Linked DNA regions of Drosophila melanogaster. The protein of the gene in region 1 interacts with the protein of each later gene in a pairwise test. Each region holds a gene or a part of one and is shown on either strand. Other genes may lie near its edges.

Region 1 (8,243 bases):
CATTTGTGCTTGCCGCAGGCTAGAAGTTCCTTGCACTGGAAAATCATTTTTTTAGTATGGTGGTCAGACAAAATTTCTTAAAACGTTAAGACTTACAGTCTGCTGACACGTCCACTGCTTGTCAATGCACCTCACGGACCTAGGACTAGATTTACCACACAGGCACGAGACCTGCGCCTGCTGCGCACAAGGAGGACATGGCCCCGGATGACATAGCAGCTTGCAATCGTGCCCACACTTCGGTTGCAAAAGCTTTCCGCAGTGCTCTCCGCATGAGTGGGGCACAAGGAAGGGCTGGTTCTCGGGGTTCACCTCCTTGCCGCAGAAGCAGTTGTACTGCGTGGGCTTATCGGCCGGTTGGTAGTCCCTGCGGCACTTGGGGCAGCACCAGTGAAGGGATTTCTGTCGCTTGGGCGGCACAAATTCGCCCAGATGATTGTAGTGGCCCTGGCCGTTCTGCTGCTCTGCCGCCTTTACCTTCATCTGCATCATGCTGTCGTTGGCCCACCGTTGGATGCACTTCAAGTGAAAGAAGCAGTAACAGCTCTCGCAAGACCAAATGGCCTCCACCCGCCGAATGCTTCCGATGCAAATGAGACAGGTTGCCGCTCCCGAGTGTAGAGTGTTTTCCAGAAACGTACTGGTGCGTGCCGCTTCCTTTGAGCTTCCTGCGTTGTCCGACGGTTTGTAGTTCTTGTATAGGAGTTCTGAAAAGATAAAGCACAAAATTTGATGGTTTTCAAATGACACGTCACAAGCATCGGTCGATTTACCCAAAATGTGATTCTCATCCAGTTCGCCTTCATCCTCGGAGCTGGAGGCGTAGGTGTCCACCAGTTTTTGGGCGGCAGCCAAATTTTTAGCTTGCGCTTTATTAAACTTTTCCATTTTTAAGCCGGCGTTTTTGTCTATCAACTGGGAATAAATTCCTGGGGTAGAACCAGGGATGGCTCGTTCTCTGATAACAGCAATTAGGGGATCTAGTTCCGAAAGGTACACATTTGTGTGAGCTTTCAGTTTCCAATTGGGAATTTCATTTAATTCAAAAAAAATACATACATACACATTAATACCTAAATTATCAAACATCCTCTCTGCATATTTTATTGCATTTAATAATTTGGACCAACATTTTGAAGTTTACAATTAATAGGTCAGGTATCTAATGTGGCAGCCCTGGTATTCGATGTTAAACATCTGTTCGTGAGTGCGACACCCTGGAACAGCTTTCACATCATTTGCAACAAAATAAAATAGAGAAAATTAAATATATCCAGACATACCGACTACGATCCGATCCAAGATGAGTTTCCTAAATTACGTGTTTGGCCCCAACCTCTACATGGAATACCGCGGTGTGCCGGAGCCGCAGCGCAAGATGTACGAGGCAGGTGCCGTGGAAAAGTTCGGGGAGCAGATTCTATCGACGGTAAGTGCCCTGCGATCCCATGGGGCAGAATCTGGAGCATATGGTAATGTGGAAAATCGACACTCTCCGTTGCAGCTATCGGTTATGTGGTCCGTGGGCTATTATACTTCTCCGCTGCTCGTCACATTCCTATACCGACGCGGCTACCTGGTGACCGATTCCATACCGACGCTGGCCAAGATCACCACCAGCGTGGGCCTCATCGTCATCCTATCGCTGGTGATGCGCGGCCTGGGGCGCAAGCAATCGCGCTCCTACTCCAACATGATTAAGGCCCTCGTCCGAGCAAAGTCCTCCAAGGCACCAGGAGATGCCAACAGCGAGCTGCGTCGCTTCGACATCGAGTTCAACGCTTGGCCGGTGGACTTTGATGTGAAAGCTCTAACCGGGTGAGTGGGCTACGCCTTTGAAGTGTGCCAGAATAACATCTTCGTTTTCAGTGATACCAAAAAGCCGGTGGTTACGGCTAGAAGGCGGGAGCCCATCCAGCTGGCGACACTGCCCTGTGAGGCCATCGCCTACCTGGCCATAAACACCTTTGGGCTCTCCATGATCTATCCGGGTTCGGTCAAACTACTCCAGAAACTTATGAGTAAGAAAGATATACATATGTGAAGCTGTCTGAAATGTTGTTAAATTGCAATCCGATAAGCCCATAAGATAGACTTCTACATATACTGAACCTAAAATATTTTGCAGGACCCATGCTGATCTCCGGACGCGCCAAGCTCATCGAGGATGACAACGGCATCCGCTACAAGGTTAAGACCATTGACTCGAACGAAATCGATACGTTGTTCATTGACAATCGCCCAAACAACGTGGGAAATGGCAAGACTCTAGTCATTTGCTCCGAGGGCAATGCCGGTTTTTATGAAGTGGGCATTATGGCCACCCCAGTGGCCTTAAAGTATTCCGTTTTGGGCTGGAATCATCCCGGATTTGCCGGCAGCACAGGCACTCCTCATCCCCACCAGGACAAGAACGCCATCGATGCCGTGGTGCAGTTTGCCATCAACAATCTTAGGTTCCCCGTAGAGGATATAATTTTGTATGGCTGGAGCATTGGTGGCTTTAGTACACTATACGCTGCCTCTGTGTATCCGGATGTCAAGGGAGTGGTACTAGACGCCACCTTCGACGATGTGCTCTACTTGGCCGTTCCTCGCATGCCAGCTGCACTGGCGGGCATTGTCAAGGTAGCCATTCGAAACTACTGTAATTTGAACAATGCCGAACTGGCCAACGAGTTCAATGGACCCATATCCTTTATTCGCCGCACTGAGGATGAGATCATTGCAGAGTGAGTGATAACTTTTGCATTTGGGCAGAGGTCTTTCCTAAAACGTAACCCATTGATTTCCATTAGGGACAACCACATTGACACAAACCGCGGAAATTTCTTGGTCTTGTCAGTGCTCAAGCACCGGTATCCCAACATTTTTGGGGCTTCCCAGTTGAATAAGGCCAAGGGGCTGCTGTCTAAGCCCCTGGAACCATACAGTATCCCCGTCGCCGACGAGAAGCTGTGCATGTCGCGCCTGATCACCTACGCCTCTGACGAGGGCAAGTCATTCCCCATGAACATTGGAGCAGATTACTCGGAGGAGGTGCGCAATCTGATGGCTGTGTTCTTGGTGGGTTTATTCGGCAGTTTAAATGGTCTATATATCTAATACTGTTCACCTTTCAGCTGCGCAAGCATTTACGTGACTATAACTCGACGCACTGCACCCAGCTGCCCGGGGAGTTCTTTACCATGCCGTGGGACATACCCACTGAGCAGGGATTTGTGTTCACCTAAGCTCATTCCGCAGGTGATCCACGGCCGTATGCTTAGATTTAGTAAAATGGTTTTTAGTAATTTTTGCCTTCTGACTGCTTATTAAATTATTCTAACTGGGAACAGCCGGGTAGCTGGTGTCTTCTGAACTGGTGTGAAATTATATACAAAATAAATGTCACAAGCTAAACTAGACGCGTCGTCTTGTGGTTAGTTTCTATTTCATGGTACAGCTAAAATTGGAGGGGAGGGGCAGTTCAACACTTAGTTCCTACGAGTTCTTCTTTGATCCACCGAAGCCGGAGAAGCCCATGATGGCGGCCATGTCGTCGGGCATGCCGCCGGACTCGAAGTCCGTGTCCTCGGCCTTGCGCTTCCGCTCTTTTCGCTTCTCCTTGCGGTGTTCCTTGTAGCGATCCTCCTCCTCCTTGGCCTCCCGCAGGCGGCGCTCGAGCTCGTAGTCTTTCTGCTTCTCCTCCATCTTCTTCTTGTTCTGCTGGAAGCGCTCCTTTACCTGGTCGACGGTGCTCCGCTCCACCTTCATGGACATGCCCAGATTGCGCTGGTGCTTCTTGCCATTGATGTGGTCCAGAAAGTTGATGGAATCCTTGACCACGCAGTCGCAAACGTTGCAGTAATAGCCACCGGATTGCGAGGTGGGTGTGTTCTTGTTGATGACAACGCTCTTGCCCAGCTTGCTGTCCAGGTCCACCTTATAGTCGCGTCGCTTGAGGTTCTCCCGCTGTACGGGTTCTGGTGAAAAACAAAAAGACTTTTATTATGTGTGCCTTCCAGGGAATTTAGACACTGACCTTCTTCCTTGGGTGCCACCTGGTTGAGCAGCCGCTCCGCCGCCAGCTTCTCGTACTCGTTCTTGTCCCATTTCCTTCGGTGGTCATCAGGTCGCATCGTCATGGTGGCGCTGGGATGACAATTGCACTAAAATCTATTCGGTAAAAGTAAGGCAATGAAAATTTGTAAATATTTTTGTTAGCGATGCGGCGGTTTGCGTCTGAGCTAAGATTTTGGACAGGGATGACAACTTGATATTTTTTTTTAAATGTTATCGATGGAACCAGAAGGCGGATGTGAAAATGTAAAAGCAGTTGTTAATTTTAATTTAAAAAAATTGTATTTAAAGTTTAAATTAAAGCTTATTTAATAGCATATAAGTCCGAATCTGTATACACAAAAAAATGGACCTAATTTTGGACATCGACGATAACCACAGGTAGGTAAAATAATCGATGTGCGATAAATATTGATTTTTCGTATACAGCAGTTAGGAAAAAAACGGTAGGTTGCAATAAATACCGTAAAATCTGGGAAATTATTGTATTTTAAAGTTTCATAGCCAAAAAAATGGGTGCCGCTTTCTTTCCCGTGCTGTTTTTCACCGCCTTGTGGGGCGGTGTGGGCATCGCCATGCCCATAATGACCCCCAAAGGACCTCACCAGAATCTGATCCGCTGCATCCTGATGCTGACCGCCGCCTGCTGCTGGCTCTTCTGGCTATGTTGCTACATGGCCCAAATGAATCCCTTGATCGGGCCCAAACTAAAGCGCGATGTGGTGGCCATGATTGGAAGGTCCTGGAACAACCCAATTGTGGCTGGTTAGGAAAATAGAGTGACTGCTAACTAAATTATTCTGCAATAATCGTCACATTAGCTGTTTGTTTTACGTTGTAAATAAGAAGTAAAAATATCAAGTGTTCTGTTAACTTCGAATTGTTTAAATATCAGATATTCAATAATAAATTAAATATTTAGATTGCCTTGTAAATAAAATCTATAGGCATCAACTAGTACATCTGCAGAATACTATTATTGTTTCAAACCAAATATTCTTTCTACCAATATAAATTGTATAAATGAAGACAGTTTGAATAATAGGTCTATTTAATTTTTTGAATAATTTAAGTTAAATTAATATTCTTTAGTTAATTAATGGCTACCACACAGTTATGCTGAATAAATTCCAAAAACAAGAAAGTATTTTGACATTCCAAACAAAAAGACAACCAACTTTTCCTTTCTGTTTGCACATATTCATATTTTAATTCTCTTTATAACTACTGCAGTCAGTAGCTGGTCCACAATAGAAATGCCTTCCCTGTCCATTTGAATAACAGAAGAATAACGATACTTTTGCTGATAAGCGCAGAGCGAAGAGAAAGAGTGGAGAGAGAGAAAAAGAGCCCATCTTCTTTTCTCTTTTCTTCGTCTGCTGGGGGCCAACACCACCGAGATTTGTAGCCACCGTCTTCAGTTAACCTTCAGTCACGGGCGCGATCAGTTGGCTTTTCCGATTCGTGTGGTTTTGCAGTGCCCATGGAAGAAAATACCGTGAATTTCCGAATCAATAGAAATTAGTCGCATAAAAAATAATCCAAACTGTGCAGCATTTGTGATTGAATTCAAGTACAAATCGATCGCAGGGAGTGATTCTTAATTCTCAAATGGAAACCGTCTTCTGCAACGGTGGACGATAATTGAGTGAAGCAAAACCTGGCAGGTGAGCTAGTTAGGAGTTTACAACTTAATTTGCAAGAAAGGTGCAGGAGCATTCCGGAATCTTCGGACTCTCCCTAAGCCAAGTCTCGCGACTTGGGCCATAAACTAGTTAGGCATGCCATAAAGCACCGGGTGTGCAGAAGGTCCGAAACTGGTTACATTACCACCAGCGTAAGAGGTCTAAAAAGCCTGGCCAAGCACAATAATCGCGCACAAACGAGCTGGCAAAGCAACAAAATTATGGATGTTAAAACGAAAAAAAAAAAATGGCAATAAAAAAGAAACAGTCTGTAATAAAAGAAATTAGAAATTAAGACTCCGCCAAACACCCGAAAAAAAGGGCGGCACGAAGCAAAGAGCATTCGCCCAAGCCAGCCATTCCGAAACCAACTGGCACTGGCACTGGCACCAATAAAAGCGTTGAGAATGTCTTAAAAAGGTGGACAGGTGATCGTCCAAAGAGCTCGAAAAAAAAACAAAAGGCCCGGAGATCGCTTTGTTGCCTCCTCGCGTCGCAATTCTTCTTGGTGTCGCTTTATATGTCGCTAACCGCGCAATTACCACGTTCATGAACTGGGCCAATCGACAGTTCACTGCTCACTGTTCACCGTGCTCGGTTCACTTCGCTCGTGGCCATTTCCCATTTTCCCCTCGGCCATTCCGGAGACGGACCCGTTGCACTCCGCTTTGGAGCCACGACATCGGAGATGGCGCACCGCGGGAGGAAACTCCATTATTATCCGATCCCACTAACCGCTATAAGATGAGTGGTTCGCCCATTATGTCGGCGGATTGTTATGGGCGATGGGAGATAGAAGCGGTTGCATCGATAGGAACATAGTATATTGGAATTATGGGGCATCTTCGGGGGTTCAGACAAGCTATAACTAAGAACTTGTTCAAAATTAATGCTGATTTATTAAATTACATGCATTACTGATGTTTGCAAATATGGAAGAGAAATGTCATTTCATCATAAGATCAGTTGATCCTAGATGAAGAAACATGTGCCTATAATAAAACATGTAAACAAGAAAACGTATATAAACATACATACATTATATTACCGCCTTTTTGTTATTCATGCATTTAATTAATAATAACATAGAAGGAATGTTTTTTAGTGATCTACTTGTTCAGTTTGCCCACTTTTCTATTTTACAACAGCATTTAAATATTTCTAAACAATTAAGTTTTTATGAGCCCAGCCCCGGGTGCTATTATCCTGACCGCAGCTGTGCCCATTACAGATATGAGTGTTTTGCATGCGCCTATCTATGTATGTCGTTGCGGAAATTGATTTTTAGTCGCAGTTAAGATCTCAGTCGTTTACGGTTCTCGTTCTTTTTTTAAAATAAAGCGGCAAAAAGACAGGAAGAGGCTGTGGCTCTCGGCACTCATTCTTCTTCTCCACATTTTTTTTTATTTTTTTTGACCCAATTCGAGGCGGGGCACCCAGTAATAGCCGAGCACTGACGCAAATGCGCCAACGATCCAAACTGACTCATTGATAACTGCAGCCGGAGAAAGTGCCAAATGAGCAGAGCCACTGACTCAGCACGAGACACTCGGATTGGGATGCGGACTGGGACAAGGCTGTCTCGACAGGTTGCCAAATCCACTTCCAAATCCCAGCCAGCAGACGAATCCGAATCCAAGATCTCATCCTAGACGCATAAACACACCCATATCTTTCGCTCTTTCGTTTTTTCTGTCTAACTGTCAGTAAGGCATTTGCAGTGTTTCTCCCATTATTTTAACCACATTTTCGTGCTTCTTTTCCTATTTTGACAATTTTCACCTCATATTAGTTTCACTGAGGCAATGAAAATTTTCATGTTTTTTCGTCAGTCGGAAGTGGATCAAACGACAGGCGAAATAGAAATGCGCAAAACCAGATTGAGATTGAAAAATTATGTACATTTTTACGAGCATTTCTTTTTTCTTTTTTTTTTTTTTGTTATTTGTGTTTCTGTTTTGGTTTATTTTGATTTCGTTTTCGTTGTCTCGACACTCAAATTATTCATTTACGAGTTAATGAAACACTTTCGCTCGTTAAGAGTCGGTCAAGTCAGAGGCCGAAGATCTCGGAGATCTGAGATCTGAGCTCTTAAGATCTCAGGTTAATTCTCCGCCTCCACAAAAAAAAAAGACTTTTTGTCTTGCCTCAGATTCTCCGCTCTTCCGCGGCAGTGAATGATTCTGCGTGAAGAATCACAAATTGGTCAAGAAACGGGGGTCTAATCATGATGATATCTCTCGCGACTGGCCCAAATTGGCAGTACCGACGACTGATCATCCGTGCCGCACGATTCTTCTGCGCGACGCCAAATGCCAAATGACAGAAGAATCCGAAGACTGGCCATCAGATTGATCTCCGTCTGGCTCTTCAGCCGACTTGGCCTGGCCAGCAGTTCGTGCCGGGCCGGAATAGAAATAGAACATAACGCTAAGCTAAGCTGCGGCTAAATTGCATTCAAATGATGTAAAATCGCCTCTAATGGGCCGATCTTTT
Region 2 (8,611 bases), on another chromosome or scaffold:
AACTTGCTTTTTCATTTGACGCAGCTCAATCCAAACGATTGACATAGACCAAAGCGAAGGAACTTCGAACGGAGTGACTTGAACGAAAAAACCCAGAAACTAAATTAACCAATCGCAACCATGTTTCCAATTGCAGATTTGAGCAGGAAGGAGAACACCGCACCCGATGTGGCGTCCACCGCCGAGATTCAGCGCAGTTTCCAGCGCAGCATTCTCAATGGCAAGCAGCGGGATGAGCAGAAGATCCAGTTGCCCGGATCTCGGCGCAAGCGCTTGTCCGTCACCGAGGTCTCCGACATGCTGTTCGAGTTCTACAAGACCAAATCGGCCAAGGTGCCCAAGGCGGAGCAGCCGCACCGTCAGGTCTCGCCGACATCCGGTGAGATCCTAGATCCCTCGACCATTTCGGCCATTGCCGTTTATGGTACGGCCTCCGAGACGGCCTCAAAAAACTTGAATGCTGATGAAGTGATGCGAGTTCAGAACGCCACAGCTACGCGTGTGGTGGGTGCTGCCGCTGGCGCCGCCGCCTCATTTCATCCAAGGCCCAAATACACCCTGAAGACAGCGGCATCGTCCACGGAGCATACCACGGCCATACCCACTTCGGTGCTGGTGGCCAATAGTGCGGCGGCTCTGACTCCGAAACCGCAGGCAGCCGTAATTGCCGAGGCCCTGATGCGAAATGGACTGCACAACTTCCAGCAGCAGTTGCGTGCCCAGGAGATACTGCGCCAACAGACACCCCATCGTCGCATCAAGGAGGAAAACGATGTCGAAATCGCTGGGGGCGACATAACACCCACTAAAATTCTGGAGAACCTCTTGCGAAAGCAGCAAGAGCGCGACCTCCGCCACTCTGAGTGTGAGAACGAACCGGGCTATTCGACCGAGGACGACGAAGAGGGTCGCTATCATGCCTTCGATGACATACACCTGATGGAGCAAAGCGGTGGCAAGTTCGGCAACAACTCCGGCATGGGCATGTTCAATGCCAATGCCCATGGAGGATCGGCCAGCTCGATTCTAGATGCCCATCAGGCCTTCCGCAACCTGGAGTTTACACTCAGCGATTATGGCGGCAGCAGCAGCAATGGCAGCACCACCAGTCCCAATGGCATCGGCCTGGATGGCGAACCCGTATACGAGTGCCGTCACTGCGGCAAGAAGTATCGCTGGAAGTCCACACTCCGGCGCCACGAGAATGTCGAGTGTGGCGGCAAGGAGCCATCGCATCAGTGTCCCTACTGCCCCTACAAGTCGAAACAGCGCGGCAATCTCGGTGTCCATGTGAGGAAGCACCACACCGATCTGCCCCAGCTGCCCAGCAAGAGGAGATCGAAGTACTCGATGAATCGCGAAAACGGGATGAGCGGCTCCATGTCCGATGACTCGCAGGGCAAGCTGATCATCGACTTCAATGGGAAGGGAGAGCTTGAAACCAAATAAATTTGTACGGGGACCGAGTGATGCTTCCATTTGATATACAATATATTTTACGTCTGGTGTCTTGTTTTGTCCATTGGATTTGTGGAAATTTATTTCTTGTCATTCATGTGTCATCCCAAATATTTAATGTTTACTTGTAGTAATTTATGTAATGTAAGCAAATGCAAGCCAATCTAATCAAGCATATAATCAAATTAGTCTTAAAGCCTTTTTTCTAACGATGCATTTATGCGTTAAAGCATCAGTTAATATCTCTTAAATTGTATAAAATGATCATTCACCAAATGTCAATTTTATACTTACGATTAAGTGTGCAAAATATTATCAAACAACACTCAAATATTTTCTAAGGTCTCTACTATTTAAGATATCACGATGTTGTCCAGAAAAAAAGTATTTAGAAAGGGTTCGCCTCGCCGTGTGCGTATTTCCAAAAAGTTCCCAGCATCTTGCCCAGAAACCCTCTGCCATCCAACGATCTCTTGACTTGGCTTGATTAAGCTACTAAGACCAAAACTTTTGGTAACTACTCGATAAGCTCAATCGATGCCATTTACAATGATATACATTATGACTGAATTAGTTAAGAGAATTGCATTGAACTGACAACTGAACAAACCATTAATTAACCAATTGAAAACCAACTATTCCTCGCCCTGAAGACATTCGTTTCATATATTTATGGACTTTAAGACTGAGTTTATTGTATCTTAAAAATTATTAACCCATGACCAAAAAAAAAACAAAAAAATTGGAACATTGTACGATTCCCAAACCAAAAACCAAACACTTATTATGCCTAAATGTTTTAACTGATATTAATGTTTGTATCTTACCATTAAGCTTGTGTGCCGTCACATTGAATCGCCCGATATTTTATGATTGTATACTTAATAAGATTATAATTCCTAACTGCATATCACGTGGTCTTCACCGATCGACGAAGACACGATTACGAACTGTGGGCAGTGTGACTGCTAAAATAAGACATGATTTTATAATGAACTTTTCATATACAATGTTTACATTTTAAATAAAACGCAGATATCTTTTAATTTTTAAAAATACGTGTGTATAGTTTATTATTAGGCGCAAGAGACTTTGTACTATGATTATTGAGTCGAACTGCGTTAACAAATACTTTTGAAATTTGATTCTGATACCAGGAGATTGCAATATGACTGTGGAGTGATTCATTTACATATTAAAAAGCTAACACCGTTGAAAATTTAAGAAAAATGCACCAGTCGCGAAATTTATGATCATCCACTGTTGGCTGTAGTGTGTGTGTGTGTGTGTGCAAGACTGTGGAGATGCATTCCCATGGAGCGGTTGCATTGAATCATTCTTTCAATACGAGCAGCCAATGGCCACGGTGAGGAAGTCCTCGAACCCAATGGTGATGGTTCCATTCTGCTGGGTGTCGCGCTGCCTGAAGGCCTCCGTGAAACGCTGCACCTGCACGCAGAGCACTATGAACTGATCCACGGACACCTCTTTGTGGCCCTGGGGGTCGCTCTTCTTCACCAGGAAGTTTATGAATTCGGGCGAGAATCGAAAGCCCATCTGGGTGAAGGCTGCCAACAAGTTTGGTAATTAGTGTAAAAGGCCATAAAGGAATTGGAGATTCAGTTGTTGTGTTAGCTTACCTTGGGTCAGCTCCTGTTCCTCGATATGTCCAGAGGAGTCCTGATCGTAGGTCTTGAAGACTTGCTGCAACAGTGATACAATGAGTCAGACTACTTAGTTTCGATATAAGAAATACCTTACCAGCCATTGGTTGATGTAGTTGTAGAGCTTCTCGAACTCATAGATATCGATGGTACCACTGGCGTCGTTGTCGAACATGCCTGTTGAGTAAATTAAAAAAGGCGATAAAAATACAACATAAATCGCAGGGTAAACAAACGGAAAAGTGTCTGGCGCTCCAGGTGATCTAAACAAATATGCATGTACCCTAAATTGGGGCAATAAATACAGTGAAACATTTATAGCCGAAAGTATAACTAAATTGATACTGACTGTCTGTTAGGGGAGTACTGACGTCACAGTTTCCGGAAGGGGAATCGAAGGAATTTTAAAGTATTTCATAACTGAAGCTTACTTAGCTATCATCAGCTCACAGGATGATCTAAATATATGTGCCCATGTGCCCTTCATTGGTTCTTGGCATACAGCGGGTGTGCTAGGCTACGCATAGAAGATTCAAATCGACAACCTGTTCTTGTGTTCTTGTGTTACTATATTGCCTACCAAACTAGTTTAGCTTATGATCGTCTTTTAGAGGGTCTACTGTATAGTATACAGTGTATACACGTTTGTTAGTGTTCACCTACTGACGTCACAGTTCCTGTAGAGGAAACTTTGGGATCTTTTTTGGGCAGGGCTTAAGCTTACTTATCATCAGCTTGCAGGCATTATCCGAGAAGTGATCGCCACGCCCATTCACCAGGGCCGCCTGCAACTCGGAAGCGTTTATCTTTCCAGATCGGTCGCGGTCCACCATGGAGAACCATTGCTGTGCCTGCGGAGACACCTGGGCATTCTGCGGCGGAAATGCTCCTGGCGGCGGGGCATAGCCACCACCGGGCTGGGCATACGGGTTATAGCCTTGTCCCTGTGGATAAACGGTAGTAAGTACATTTAATCCACTTTCTTAAGCATAAACACACTCACATAAGACATTTTGTCACGAGCCTAGTTCGATTCTAATTGGAACTTGAGGGACAAAACAATTTTAATGAAACTACAGATGACAAGAAGGGCGTTCACCAACACTGGTTTGGGCAAGCGATAACAATGTGACATATCGATAGCATTGCTAGACTTATTGCTTGGCTATACTCCCATCCCTATCGCCGGTATAAACAACTAACAAAAGCAGCAAAACATTAAGCAAAAATGTCGAACTTCGTGAACTTGGACATCTTCTCCAACTACCAAAAGTACATAGACAATGAACAGGAAGTCAGGGAGGTGAGTTGACGGTTAATATCCTAAAAACCACCATCTTAAACCATTGTTTTTAGAACATCCGCATTGTGGTGCGCGAAATCGAGCATTTGTCAAAGGAAGCGCAGATTAAACTGCAGATTATTCATAGCGATTTGAGCCAGAGTAAGTTCTGTACAATTTGGTAGCTTGTATGTTTTGTTCTAATATGACATTATACTTGAACAATAGTTAGTGCCGCCTGCGGCTTAGCCCGCAAACAGGTTGAGCTGTGTGCCCAAAAGTACCAGAAATTGGCCGAACTGGTGCCAGCTGGGCAGTACTACAGGTGAGTCAGATGGTGAAATCCGTGGTGTCTATTGTGGGTGTCGAATGCTCCGCCTTCTCCAGATACTCCGATCACTGGACCTTCATTACGCAGCGTTTGATCTTCATCATTGCCTTGGTTATTTACCTGGAGGCGGGCTTCTTGGTCACCCGCGAAACAGTGGCCGAAATGCTGGGATGTAAGCTAGATTTGGAAGGCTCTCTGGATACGAAATAATAGTTAATTACTCCACAGTGAAGATCAGCCAGTCTGAGGGCTTCCATCTGGATGTGGAGGACTATCTACTGGGCATACTGCAGTTGGCGTCGGAGCTCTCCCGATTCGCTACCAATTCCGTCACCATGGGCGACTACGAGCGTCCCCTGAATATCTCCCATTTTATTGGTGACCTGAACACGGGCTTCCGTCTGCTGAACCTGAAGAACGATGGCTTGCGAAAGCGCTTCGATGCCTTAAAGTATGATGTCAAGAAGATCGAGGAGGTCGTCTACGATGTCAGCATACGCGGTCTGTCCAGCAAGGAAAAGGACCAGCAGGAGGAGCCGGCTGTTCCTGCAACCGAATAGTTTACTTCGTACGTAGGATAAGGCGTTTATTAAAATGAAAAAGTTTCATTTAAACAAGCAAATATATTACATTCATTAAACAGAGTATCATTTTATTTTACTATTTAAATCAGGAATGCTCGTAGGAATCAAATGTAGCAGGATATATGTATGTAATCCTGTGTTAAAAATCTGAAATGTGTTTTTGTTTTTTTTCAGAACACATTTCTTTACATCTTAATAGGCACCATCTTATTTTAATGATCAGTTTACACAGAAGCGAAATAGTGCTTTGAACCATAACAAAAAAACATAAGTTTGTGCAACTTAAAGGTAATTAAAATGGCTGTGCGCGTTTTGATTAAATCATAACTAAGTATACATAGAGACAAGTGCAGAAGTTTGATGGCTTAACCCTTTTGAAACTTGTTTAGCCACCACCACTGGGCCGCAGTTGTTGTTGTTGCCCCGATCATATGGTGGATTTGTTGCTGCTCTTCTTTGGCCGCTGCTTCCGTTTCGCCTTTGCTTCTGCTTCTCAGGCGCAGTTTCAGTCTCTCTTTTGCCACCGCAACGCTTACAACGTTAACATTGCGCGCGCGTCTTTGCATTTTCTTGTTTGCTGCTTCGTCGTCCGTCGTCCTTCCCGTGTTGTTCTTATTGTTTTTTCCCGCTTTGTGCGCTCTTTATTGTTTCGCCCTTTCTAGCATTTTGATTTGAAAGTGGAGACTGCAATTGGTTACCATTTCAAGAAAGTAAGTCTGGCGGGCAGTTGGCCGTGTGAAAAGTCCGTTGGCCCAGAAACTCACCCGCTCTCTTGACCACGCCCCCTTTTCCGTCCCCGGCCCGAAAAAAAAGCTAAAAACTGAGAGACTCCAACCTGTTTGGCAATAATTGGGTCACAAATCTGGTAAAAACTTGTTGCCCGAAATGGTCACTAAACAAATAGCACTGTTTTTATTACAAAACTTTAGTTGAGTCTGCAGTTGCCTTGTTGTTGTTTGTTTGTTTTAATTTTTTTATTTCGTTCCGCAGACATAGTTGTTGTTTGGTGTTTTTCAAAACACGCTTTAATCGAAGCGGTTCAAAGTCCGAAACAAGTTTCCTGAGAGGCTTAACGGGGCACGCTCTCTCCTTGTTGCTCTTTCCCCTCTTCTTACAACGCACTGAGTGGGAGGAGAGCGAGAAATACTGAGAGAGCTTTCGACGTAAACATCTGAAAAGCAAAACCACAACAGACACCCACACACTGACGGGCAGGTGTTGCTCTCTGCGTCTCTCTTTCTTCCTACCCCCATTCCAACTTTCTTGCATTCTCATTTCGAAGGGAAAATGCCAAGGAAAAGCCCAGCCGCAAACCAACAACAAAAAGTCAATATAATAAACCCAGAATCCGAGTGCTAACTGTTATGGAAAGTAGCGAAACCATTAGCTATGGACCTCCTTCATTGAGTGTTTTGCTTGCATACCCGGCAATTAAAGACTTGCAGGGTATGTGTATTTTCAATACATCAAAAAACAAAAAATAATATATAGAATATATTTTAGTATCGAAAAAGATTTAAAAAAAATTGAAAAATTTTAAAATACGCCCTAATATTAGTTGTATTCCTCAAAGTCATATTTTTTTGAGTATCGTCTACTGTAAGTATTCAATTAGTAGTGGGTATGTCTTGAGACAAAATCATTTTAGTAAGTTTGCTTGTTTATTTCGCATGGTAATTACACGTTTATAGAACTATTAACCTGCATTGAATATGGTTGTCAAATAAAAATATTAGGTATACCTTGTTATGACCGCTTTTAACGACCACACTCAACCAATAGTGTGTTACGTTTTTAAGTGTCGCAGTACTTCAGAAATGTTCACAGCACTTTTAGTTCAATAACTCATGTGAATCCATGTAATAGTGGATATCTTGTAGTCGAGTATCTCAAAGATACCCCGCTCGCTTTATCAATTTTCGTTGCGCTGGCCGCGGCAGCTGTGAATGATTTGCAAGGGGTCCCAGCGCAACTGGTTCCCAGCGCCTTTGTGCTGCCCCTCGGAACCCGACCCTCCAGAGCCACCAATACCTCGATCGTACCGCTCTCGTTAGACATGCGTGGCTGGCTGCCTCTGTCGTTCGCAGTCGCCGCACATTTCAAGTTTGCTACGGTTCAAAGTCCAAACCCAAGATACAAATACCAGCACCAGCAGCACCATTTCGTTTTCATCGCAGTGGTTATTTTAAATCGAAATTCTCCAATCTGGGCACACTTTCGATGGGGGGGGGGGGGGGGTTACGAAGATCCCGGTCGTGCGATAAGCAGACGACATTTATGCCAGGTAGACACTTCCAACGCGTCACCGATTGCACTAGGTTATTCTGACAGCAATCACCTCTTATCGGAACCGCGTGCTCGAGCAATCCTTATCAGACCACCGAAATTGCGTACCACTGGAGTTCTCACAGGCCCCCCGCCACTGCGATTATTGGACTTTCAACAATAAATAGTGAGCGATAGGTTTTATCGCCTCCCTCAATTGTTGCTTATCCCCGCCACCTCATTGGCCCGTTTTCGGTTATAGAATCAGATCGTACATATGTACATACATATATTTAAGACTTGTTTTTCAGCTGGTTTATCAAGTAAGCTGGCTAACCATAGTGATGTAACAGCGATAAGAACAGGTGTGGAGAGCCCATCTTCAGATCTCAAGTTGCTTACCTAAACCGCATGCCGATAAAGTGCCATCTGCGCAGAGGTCAGAGTCCACTTGCCGAATTTTAAAGCCTAATCTTTATGATATGAACTCTGATATTACCAAATCGCGCCGTCTGCAATCTCGAATATGAGTTATTTATGTTTTGTTTTTTTTTTTATAGCACAGCGAAAGATATATGGGATAAGCACCAAATACAATCTTATTTTATCATGCCCTTTAGACTTGAAAGGAATCTTATCAACTTACAGCTGTGTATGTAGATTTAAAATACTAAGTGAAATCTAAGTGAATTGTTACCCCTGTTTATTGTCATTATGTATTGAGCGAGGCAAACTAGAATGCTAAGTATATTATAGTATATGTGTTCATAGGCTCTCCACCTTAGTTTTGACAAGAAATATAAACGACTTTACATAATTGTAATATATATCTTTCGAATCTTGATAAGCCGACTGATAGGCGACCTAGATTCTTAGAAATTTGTCTAGCCACGTCGAAAAAGTTGAATTTTAAAAAACGCATTATCGAGGCTAACTGCGCATACCCCTCAAACGATGAGTACACCCATCTTATATACACACTTGTAGGTGTTTATTGGACCCAATCACATATCCATTTCGCCACAAG
Region 3 (8,361 bases), on another chromosome or scaffold:
GTGAGAAAGCTTCGGTCTTCGGCCAGTCAGACGCGTTCCCAAGTTGCAGTCAAATTTTCATTTTTCCACTCACGTATTTCGATTAAATTCTCATTTTGGTCATAATTTTCCAGTTTTTACGTTGGCCTCGCCATTAAATTGCACCTCGGCTCTCTGGGACGGATGTGCGCCCAACTCCAAACTCGGTTTTCCCGCCAGTTGGCTTTGCTTCTTTATGTGCGTTGCGTATCGAAGGCATCAAGTTCTCTGTCGGCGAATACATTTAGAAAATTAAAAGTTTTCCAGGCAGCGGAGGTCCTACGAGCTAGAATAGATAGAATAGTAGTGTTTCTGCAATTGTTTGCGCGCTCTCCCAGCCATAAATCAATTTGCAGCGCCCAAGTTTTATTATGGCTGCATAAATCCGTTAACAAAGCCCCAGCCACCTGATGCCCAGATTTACGTATATATATACTTACATACGTATGTCGTGCGAATGCCTGGCTAATTTTGCGGCACGCACACTACCGCTTATTCCCAATGAGCATTGAACGATGTCAGGATGCGGATACAACAGGTTTATGCCACATATCGTTGGCAGCGACAGTTGGCTTATAGTCGCACAGCAAACTTTTTGCGCGTAATAAATTGATAAATAGTCCAGCACGCATACATGGCCCCAAAGTGGGGCTATACTCGTATATAGGTACATATATATATATCTGTGCAGCTGCCAAGTATGCAACAGTTTTCGATTGCCAGCGTCCATGCAGGCGACTGCAAAGTGTTGCATACTTCTTGGCTGAAACCACTTTGTATCCGGAATCCGGATTATATTCGATTTGGTTTAGACTTTGCTGACTTAAGGATTACGAGTCCCTAGAAAGCGAATAAACAATTCGAAATCGTAGTTTTGGTAGTTTTGTTACTGTTTTTATATTGTACCTTTAATTCTATTAAGGTAAAAATCTTACCAAATTTGTTTTAAGGAGTTTTAGGTAGTTCTTAAGACAAATGAAACTCTAATTAGAGAATTTGACTACCTACATTTACTATGACACTTAGTGATTAAACGCTAAGTAATTATGTGGAAAATTTATTAGTTAAATATACTATATTATATTCTTAAACAAAGGTTTGATGACTACTACTAAGTAAGCATAAAATTTTAATTAAAATACTCATATATTTATATAAACATTTAATATGAAATATAAGCATGCATAAATCTACTTTAACCAACCAGCACTAGCTCCTCCCCAACCATGAACAACACTCTGATGAAGTGCAGCATGTCCCCCTGAAATGGATCTTTGTAATCCCGGCAAGAGACGGTCTTATCAAACAGCGTAGTCAATCAAAAGTAAACATTTCAGCCCCCACAACTGGCCGATGAGAGAGGGGGGCTCCCACAATTTCAGCATAATTCACGCGAATTCATCCGTCTGTTGTTTTTCGATTATGTCGCATTGTCTTGGCTTAAACTTTTTCGGTGGCCCAACGACAAGAACTGAGCCGAACTAAGAACTGAACTGCAAAGTGATCCGAACTGGACAGCAACTCGGATGGGTTGTTGCCTGGCAATATTACAGCGATTCCTACTTATGCCTCAATTCGTTTGCCTTGTCACGGCGAGTGCTCAAAGGAGGTGATGGGTTCGAGGAAGCGAGGATGCGAGGATACTGGGATGCTTGGATGCTTGGATGCTCGGATGGCCGGATGGTTGGGTGTGCGCCATTCGAGCGACATGACAAAGGGGCGCAAAAAGGACACCCGGCGCATCCTTGGACCCGTGCATCACAAAACATGACATGGCACGAGCCATTCCGTTTGTTTTTTCTATTCCCATTTTACAGCTGTCCATCCGCTGGCCAAACAAATTTTTCCACTGTTTTTCGCTGCGATCCCTGAGTAAAATATTATGTTACACGGTGGACACAAAGAAAGCGCTGGCAGCCAAGTCGCTACGACTAAATATGGAAATGAACGAATGAAATGTTCGCCGGAGGCGCATTTAAATGCAATAAAGAAATAGATGGGTTTTTCTTTTTCCACCCACCCCCACCACCACTTATGCATATGCAACAAGCCGCACACAAGCAATTCATTAAGCGCAACGCAACTGTGGCAAATAGAAAATTACCGACAAAACACTGGCCGACAGTTTACGAGCCGCAGACACTGAACGTCGAATGGGGCAGCAGCATATTTACAACTTTCAAATGCCTCATTTTATTGGTCTCGAAATGAACAAATGGCGCACAGGCCACAGGGACATGGACCTTCTGCTACTCCTCTACACATTCGACTCCTTCGCCTTGCTGGCTGGGAAAAAATTTTGCATAATTTATGTGGGTGCCGCGCACACGGAGGTCCCGACGGATTCGAAGTATCCGAAGGATTCGAAAGGAAAACAACGCACGAGCACCACGGCCAACTGATTTAAATGCAATTGCACTGAAGTATTTTGTTTGGCGAACGAAGCTGGATGAAATAGGGGGGTGTGGGGTTTTCTATTGAGACATCTGCACGTGCAACCGGAAACATCCGAAGAGAACAGCACAGGCCGGGCTACGCCGGGCAATTTCTTTTCATTTGCCAAGGTGTTGAGTTGCACCAACATTCGACATCGACGTGGCCAGAAGCCAACAAAAGCCAAGAGCCAAACCCCTTTTTGTGGTCACAAGTGTCGTCTATTTGTCGTGGGCATCTTGGGCACCTTGGGCATCCTCGACATCCTTGCCATTTTGGTCTGGCCAAGACAAACAACCAGCAAATTTAGTGTATTTTGTGCATTTTTAAAATTGTCCAAATTTATGTGACACGCTGCGCCAATTGATCAGATTAAATAAACATGAGGCCAAGCGAATCGAATTTGGCTTCACCAAGAAGACAATGCAGTCTGTATTCAAATGGGTGGGCGCATCCACCAAGCGGTGAATACAGTGACCGCTCGCTATAATGGACGGTCAGGTGTTACTTTAACTTAAAAAAATATGTAACAAATCTTATCAAGTTTGAAATAGATTGAAATAGATTTGGTTATTGCATTCGAAAGATATATATTAAATTCGAATATTCCAAGAAATTTCATGAGAATGTCACTTATGTCATGAGATTATATTAACGTACGAATAAACAATGTATTTTCCAAAATTAAAAATAAAATTTAATTTAATTACGCAGTACCTTTACACTATCAGTCGGAGGTAATAACTCATATAATTAGATTAGCATTAGCTTTTAAAGCGAAAAACACTTAAAAGCTGAAATTATTAGACAACACTCTTAAATTAGTCGAGCTGATATATAGCCTCAAGTTTTGCTTAAATCCAAAGATAAAGGAATGCCTTCAAAAATATATTTTGTTTTATACCAAGTGACAGCAGAGAATGGGGTTGCAATATCTTAAAAGAGTTTCACTTAGCCAATATTTACTGCCATTGTTGGCCACCAAATAGTAGCAACCAGAGACTTCCAGGAATATATTCTCGTGTCAAATGCAATCCACTTTAAATGCAACTATCTGGCGGCTAAGAAAACCCGACAGTTTGATTCAAGTCGACGAAACAATATAAGCACGTGCTAAATAAAGAGACCTATGCAGTTAATACTCTTGTCATATTATAATATAATTTAGTGACATAAGTTGCATGGTATACGAGTACTGAACAAGTTATGGCAGCTTTTCCAAATAAGCGATCACATATTCCGCGGGATGATGGGTGGATTTCTAGCATATGTGGATGCTTAATGGCTTATTGCGGGTCAGGGCGGCGCAATCTGTTCAGAAATTCCCGAACGCACACCCATTTCAGATCAGATTGTGACGTTTTGGGAAATTCTTGACGATCGGTGTAAACAAGCTCAGCAACCAGATTCGATGGCTATGTGCCGGCTATAAATACTAGAAACCATTCGATTGCACTCAGTTGAAGCTGGGCTCTGGAACAGATCACAATGAAATCGTTTGGATTGATTGCACTGGCTATCTGTGGCGTTATCTGCGTCGGTAAGTAGTAACCTCTGGATATAATATAATATTTCGCGAAAGCGGTTACATAACATTATTATAATCCTTGCAGCTGCGGAACCACAACACACCTACGACGGTCGCAATGGGCCGCATGTCTTCGGTTCACCGGGCAATCAGGTCTATATAAGGGGCCAGAATGAAGGCACCTACAGCGTGCCGGGAGTGGGTGGCCAGTTCCAAAACGCTCCTCAACGGGGTGAGCATGTGTACACCGATGAGGCGGGCAACACGTTTGTTAACCGAAAGAACGCTGGTGGACCAGGTAAGTTTAAGTCTCTATACAGATTCTCGAAGATCCTAATGCTATATTCATAATTTCAGCTTCCCACACCATCAGTGGTCCCAATTTTTCCGCCAAAAATTTAGGGCCCAATGGAGCTAAGAGCGTGGGAATCCCACAACGTGCCCGGCGCAGTCCGCAGTTTCACGTAGAGCGTCCCGGTCGCACTGTTGACGTTGGAAACGGAGGATTCTACATTCAGCGTGGCCGACGCAGTCCACAGCTTCATGTGGCACGCCCAGATCGCACCGTAACCATTGGTAATGGCGGCGTCTATATTCAACGCAGTCGACGCAGTCCACAGTTCCATGTGGAGCGACCAGATCGCACTGTTGATTTCGGTAACGGTGGCTTCTCCGCTCAACGTTTCCGCCGTGGGATCAACGATGCCCGCGTCCAGGGTGAGAACTTTGTGGCCCGCGACGATCAGGCAGGAATTTGGGACAATAATGTCTCCGTTTGGAAGCGTCCGGACGGACGCACTGTCACAATCGATAGGAATGGTCATACCATCGTGTCCGGAAGGGGACGTCCCGCTCAGCACGTAAGCAATCTCACGCATTTAACCAGCGCAATCAACTAACTTATTTATGTTTTCAGTACTGAAACGGTTTCAAATAAGTGTAACTTTAGACTGTAAAATACGATTAATATGAGACTATGTATATAGCAACATAAATCACATGATATCTGAATATGAAATCTATATGCGCCCAGCGGACTTGAATTTGGTTTTGGATTACTATTTGGCTAGGAGTAATATGCATATATCTATACAAAACACGAGTGGCCCGAACACTGTGTGAGATTCTTGAGACGCAACGAATACAAAGCTCGTTCAATGGGCAGCAGATCGTAGGCAATGTTGGTCATTTGAAAGGGATCCAGTTGCAGGTCATATGCCTCCAAAAAGTTCTGAAATATTTATAAACACATGAAATATATAGAATGGCAAATGTCAAATGCTTCTTTACCTCGTTATCCCGAAATTCGCAGTAAATGCGATCCTCGCGATGGCGAATATTTCTTAAGCAGGCGTAGGTGTTGTTCCATGCATCCTGGCAATGGCAATCCGCTGCGGGGGTGCACTGCGCCAATCGATCCTTTTCTGGCCAAGGGCATTCAGGATTAAAGGTGGCCAGAGTTCCCTCGCCCCAGTACTCGATCAACAGGGAACGCTCGAAAAATGGAACCCTTCGCCTTTTGTTGAGCAAAAGCTCGTGAAATGATTGCCCATCCATGTAGGATGGTGTGTCGATGTCGGCCCAGGCCAATATAGTCGGTGCCAAGTCCACTAGACTGACGGCAGTGTCAATGTGGCTCTCAGGTGCTATTCCAGGTCCCCGGATTAGCAGCGGTACGTTAATATCCGTTTCGTAGGGCTGTCTCTTATCGAAGGGCTGTGCAAACTGCCCCACATGGTAGCCGTTATCCGAGGTGTAGATAATGTAGGTGTTCTCCAACGATTGCGTATCGTTTAGCACTCCCATCAAGGTGACGACCAGTTCGTCCACGGCCAGCAGCGTTTCCCAGCGTTTCTGGAAATACGTGTCTATGGTGTTGATGGTTTCGTTGGGCAGACGACGTGCTGCTCGCACCAACCAGTGCTTATCTAAAAAGGGTACTTATGTATATTGGTGGCATAGATATCATTTGATAACAACCTTACCCTGCTTAACTTGATTGAAGCTGGGTGTGCGCAGGGCTTCGATATGGGAGAACACACCCTCATGTCTTGGTGCCGGAGTGAAGGGTTCATGGGCTGCCGGTGGGGCGACCATCGCGAAGAACGGTTCCGAGGATTGTGTAGCATTTCTTAGAAAGTCAGCGGCGCGATCTCTTAGCAGATCGGTTAGGTAGGTGGACTCGTAGTGCACGTTGCCGCTATTTTCGCGCAGTGTGTAGTTATAGTATCTAGAGTTCCCGTGAAGGCCATAGAAGTGGTTCCAACCCTTTGGCACATCCCCAGCACCCCAGTACTGATTCAAGTACTTCCCGCCAAAGAAGGTGTTGTATCCGTGCTGCTGCAAGATGTATGGCAAGGCCCGGGGCTCCAGCGCTCGCCGCCAGTGTGGTCCGTAGCATCCACCACTTACGGAATTGTTCCGGGTGCCGTGATTGTGCGCATACATGCCCGTCAGCAGACTCGTCCTCGCCGGACAGCAGATGGGCGAGGGCGTGTAGGCGTTGTGGAACAGGGCGCCACCGAAACCCAGCATTTCGATCGTATGCTCCATGGGAAACATACCGCGCAGCTCCACATCCTGATCGTCGGACAGGATCAGCAGAATGTTGGGCAACTTCTCGCTGGCCGTGTTTCCCAGGCAAGCGAGGACTAGGATGATCAGGGGGGCTAAGCTGATCTGCAGAAATCACCTGATATAAAACATATAGGATATTAGTTTGGAATACTCACCATGGAGCAGATCGAAGTTTTCTTTTGTTTACATAAAATTTGTGCGATAACAAAGCCCGGCTTGCAAGTGCAGTGTTGTAAAAGGCAGCGGCGATCTTTTAGTGTTAGCCAATGGCCAACCGAAATAGGACAAACTCTAAACCTAATCAAATTATATTGAAAGTATCATTTTTACCTATTTAGTAAACTGCACTTACCACTTGTGAAAATACGAACATCAGCTCTCAGGCGCGCGAATTATTCAAATTCAAATATTCTTCCAGGGGTGCCATATGTCTAAACTTATTTAGCGTCGCGTTGCCAGACAACAGTAGGGTAATGGGGTGTACACACTGTACTTTTAATCAACTGTTAAGCTTACAGTTGGCGCCAAACAAAAAATTCAAAACTTCTTAGTTATTTCCAGACCCCGTATTTGAAAGCCAACAAGCCACGTTAGAGAAATATGATTTATTTCCATTAAATATCAGCGGTTCGGTGACCGAAAAATACAGATTCTTTGCTGACATCAATATGTTTTTTTGAAATTCACAATAATGTAATGCATATGTAGGTACAAATGTTTACAGTTTACTTAGAGATAGACTTTTTTAAAAAAGAATGCAAGTCTGTATCCGTATCACAAAGCTGCGCCGCGGACAAGGGGACAGATACAAAAAAAAAAAACAAAACCGAACTCTAGCCTCTTAAATGTGTTTTTTTTCCTCGCGATCTTACAAAATAAATAACAGCAAATAGAAAGATAAACTTACATATAAGCGCAATATTCAAATGTTTCAAATGTTGTGCATTTTTAAAATTGTCCAAATTTATGTGACACGCTGCGCCAATTGATCAGATTAAATAAACATGAGGCCAAGCGAATCGAATTTGGCTTCACCAAGAAGACAATGCAGTCTGTATTCAAATGGGTGGGCGCATCCACCAAGCGGTGAATACAGTGACCGCTCGCTATAATGGACGGTCAGGTGTTACTTTAACTTAAAAAAATATGTAACAAATCTTATCAAGTTTGAAATAGATTGAAATAGATTTGGTTATTGCATTCGAAAGATATATATTAAATTCGAATATTCCAAGAAATTTCATGAGAATGTCACTTATGTCATGAGATTATATTAACGTACGAATAAACAATGTATTTTCCAAAATTAAAAATAAAATTTAATTTAATTACGCAGTACCTTTACACTATCAGTCGGAGGTAATAACTCATATAATTAGATTAGCATTAGCTTTTAAAGCGAAAAACACTTAAAAGCTGAAATTATTAGACAACACTCTTAAATTAGTCGAGCTGATATATAGCCTCAAGTTTTGCTTAAATCCAAAGATAAAGGAATGCCTTCAAAAATATATTTTGTTTTATACCAAGTGACAGCAGAGAATGGGGTTGCAATATCTTAAAAGAGTTTCACTTAGCCAATATTTACTGCCATTGTTGGCCACCAAATAGTAGCAACCAGAGACTTCCAGGAATATATTCTCGTGTCAAATGCAATCCACTTTAAATGCAACTATCTGGCGGCTAAGAAAACCCGACAGTTTGATTCAAGTCGACGAAACAATATAAGCACGTGCTAAATAAAGAGACCTATGCAGTTAATACTCTTGTCATATTATAATATAATTTAGTGACATAAGTTGCAT

Evidence for each region.
Region 2: the proteins of CG11586 (region 1) and Pef interact in a two-hybrid assay, tested with the Drosophila melanogaster proteins (one large-scale study listed by BioGRID).
Region 3: the proteins of CG11586 (region 1) and BaraA2 interact in a two-hybrid assay, tested with the Drosophila melanogaster proteins (one large-scale study listed by BioGRID).

What each region holds. Positions count from the first base shown.
Region 1 is NT_037436.4:4,258,240-4,266,482, forward strand, and holds CG11586 (uncharacterized protein), read right to left. Parts: upstream 4,232-8,243; 5' UTR 4,128-4,231; coding exon 4,025-4,127; intron 3,966-4,024; coding exon 3,484-3,965; 3' UTR 3,234-3,483; coding exon of another isoform or gene 3,123-3,233; 3' UTR 3,067-3,122; downstream 1-3,066. Other genes in the region: CG15011 (uncharacterized protein), read right to left, coding at 1-35, 97-707, 774-888; CG1309 (uncharacterized protein), read left to right, coding at 1,304-1,429, 1,505-1,818, 1,870-2,021, 2,129-2,732, 2,799-3,066, 3,123-3,233; VhaM9.7-a (vacuolar H[+] ATPase M9.7 subunit a), read left to right, coding at 4,575-4,832.
Region 2 is NT_033778.4:10,475,778-10,484,388, reverse strand, and holds Pef (peflin), read right to left. Parts: upstream 4,227-8,611; 5' UTR 4,135-4,226; coding exon 4,126-4,134; intron 4,067-4,125; coding exon 3,847-4,066; intron 3,300-3,846; coding exon 3,220-3,299; intron 3,163-3,219; coding exon 3,099-3,162; intron 3,027-3,098; coding exon 2,800-3,026; 3' UTR 2,503-2,799; downstream 1-2,502. Other genes in the region: trsn (translin), read left to right, coding at 4,351-4,425, 4,479-4,566, 4,633-4,729, 4,792-4,907, 4,964-5,295.
Region 3 is NT_033778.4:13,403,104-13,411,464, forward strand, and holds BaraA2 (baramicin A2), read left to right. Parts: upstream 1-3,907; 5' UTR 3,908-3,939; coding exon 3,940-3,991; intron 3,992-4,064; coding exon 4,065-4,277; intron 4,278-4,336; coding exon 4,337-4,839; intron 4,840-4,895; coding exon 4,896-4,901; 3' UTR 4,902-5,066; coding exon of another isoform or gene 5,067-5,210; 3' UTR 5,211-5,255; downstream 5,256-8,361. Other genes in the region: CG18278 (uncharacterized protein), read right to left, coding at 5,067-5,210, 5,270-5,907, 5,965-6,658, 6,712-6,714.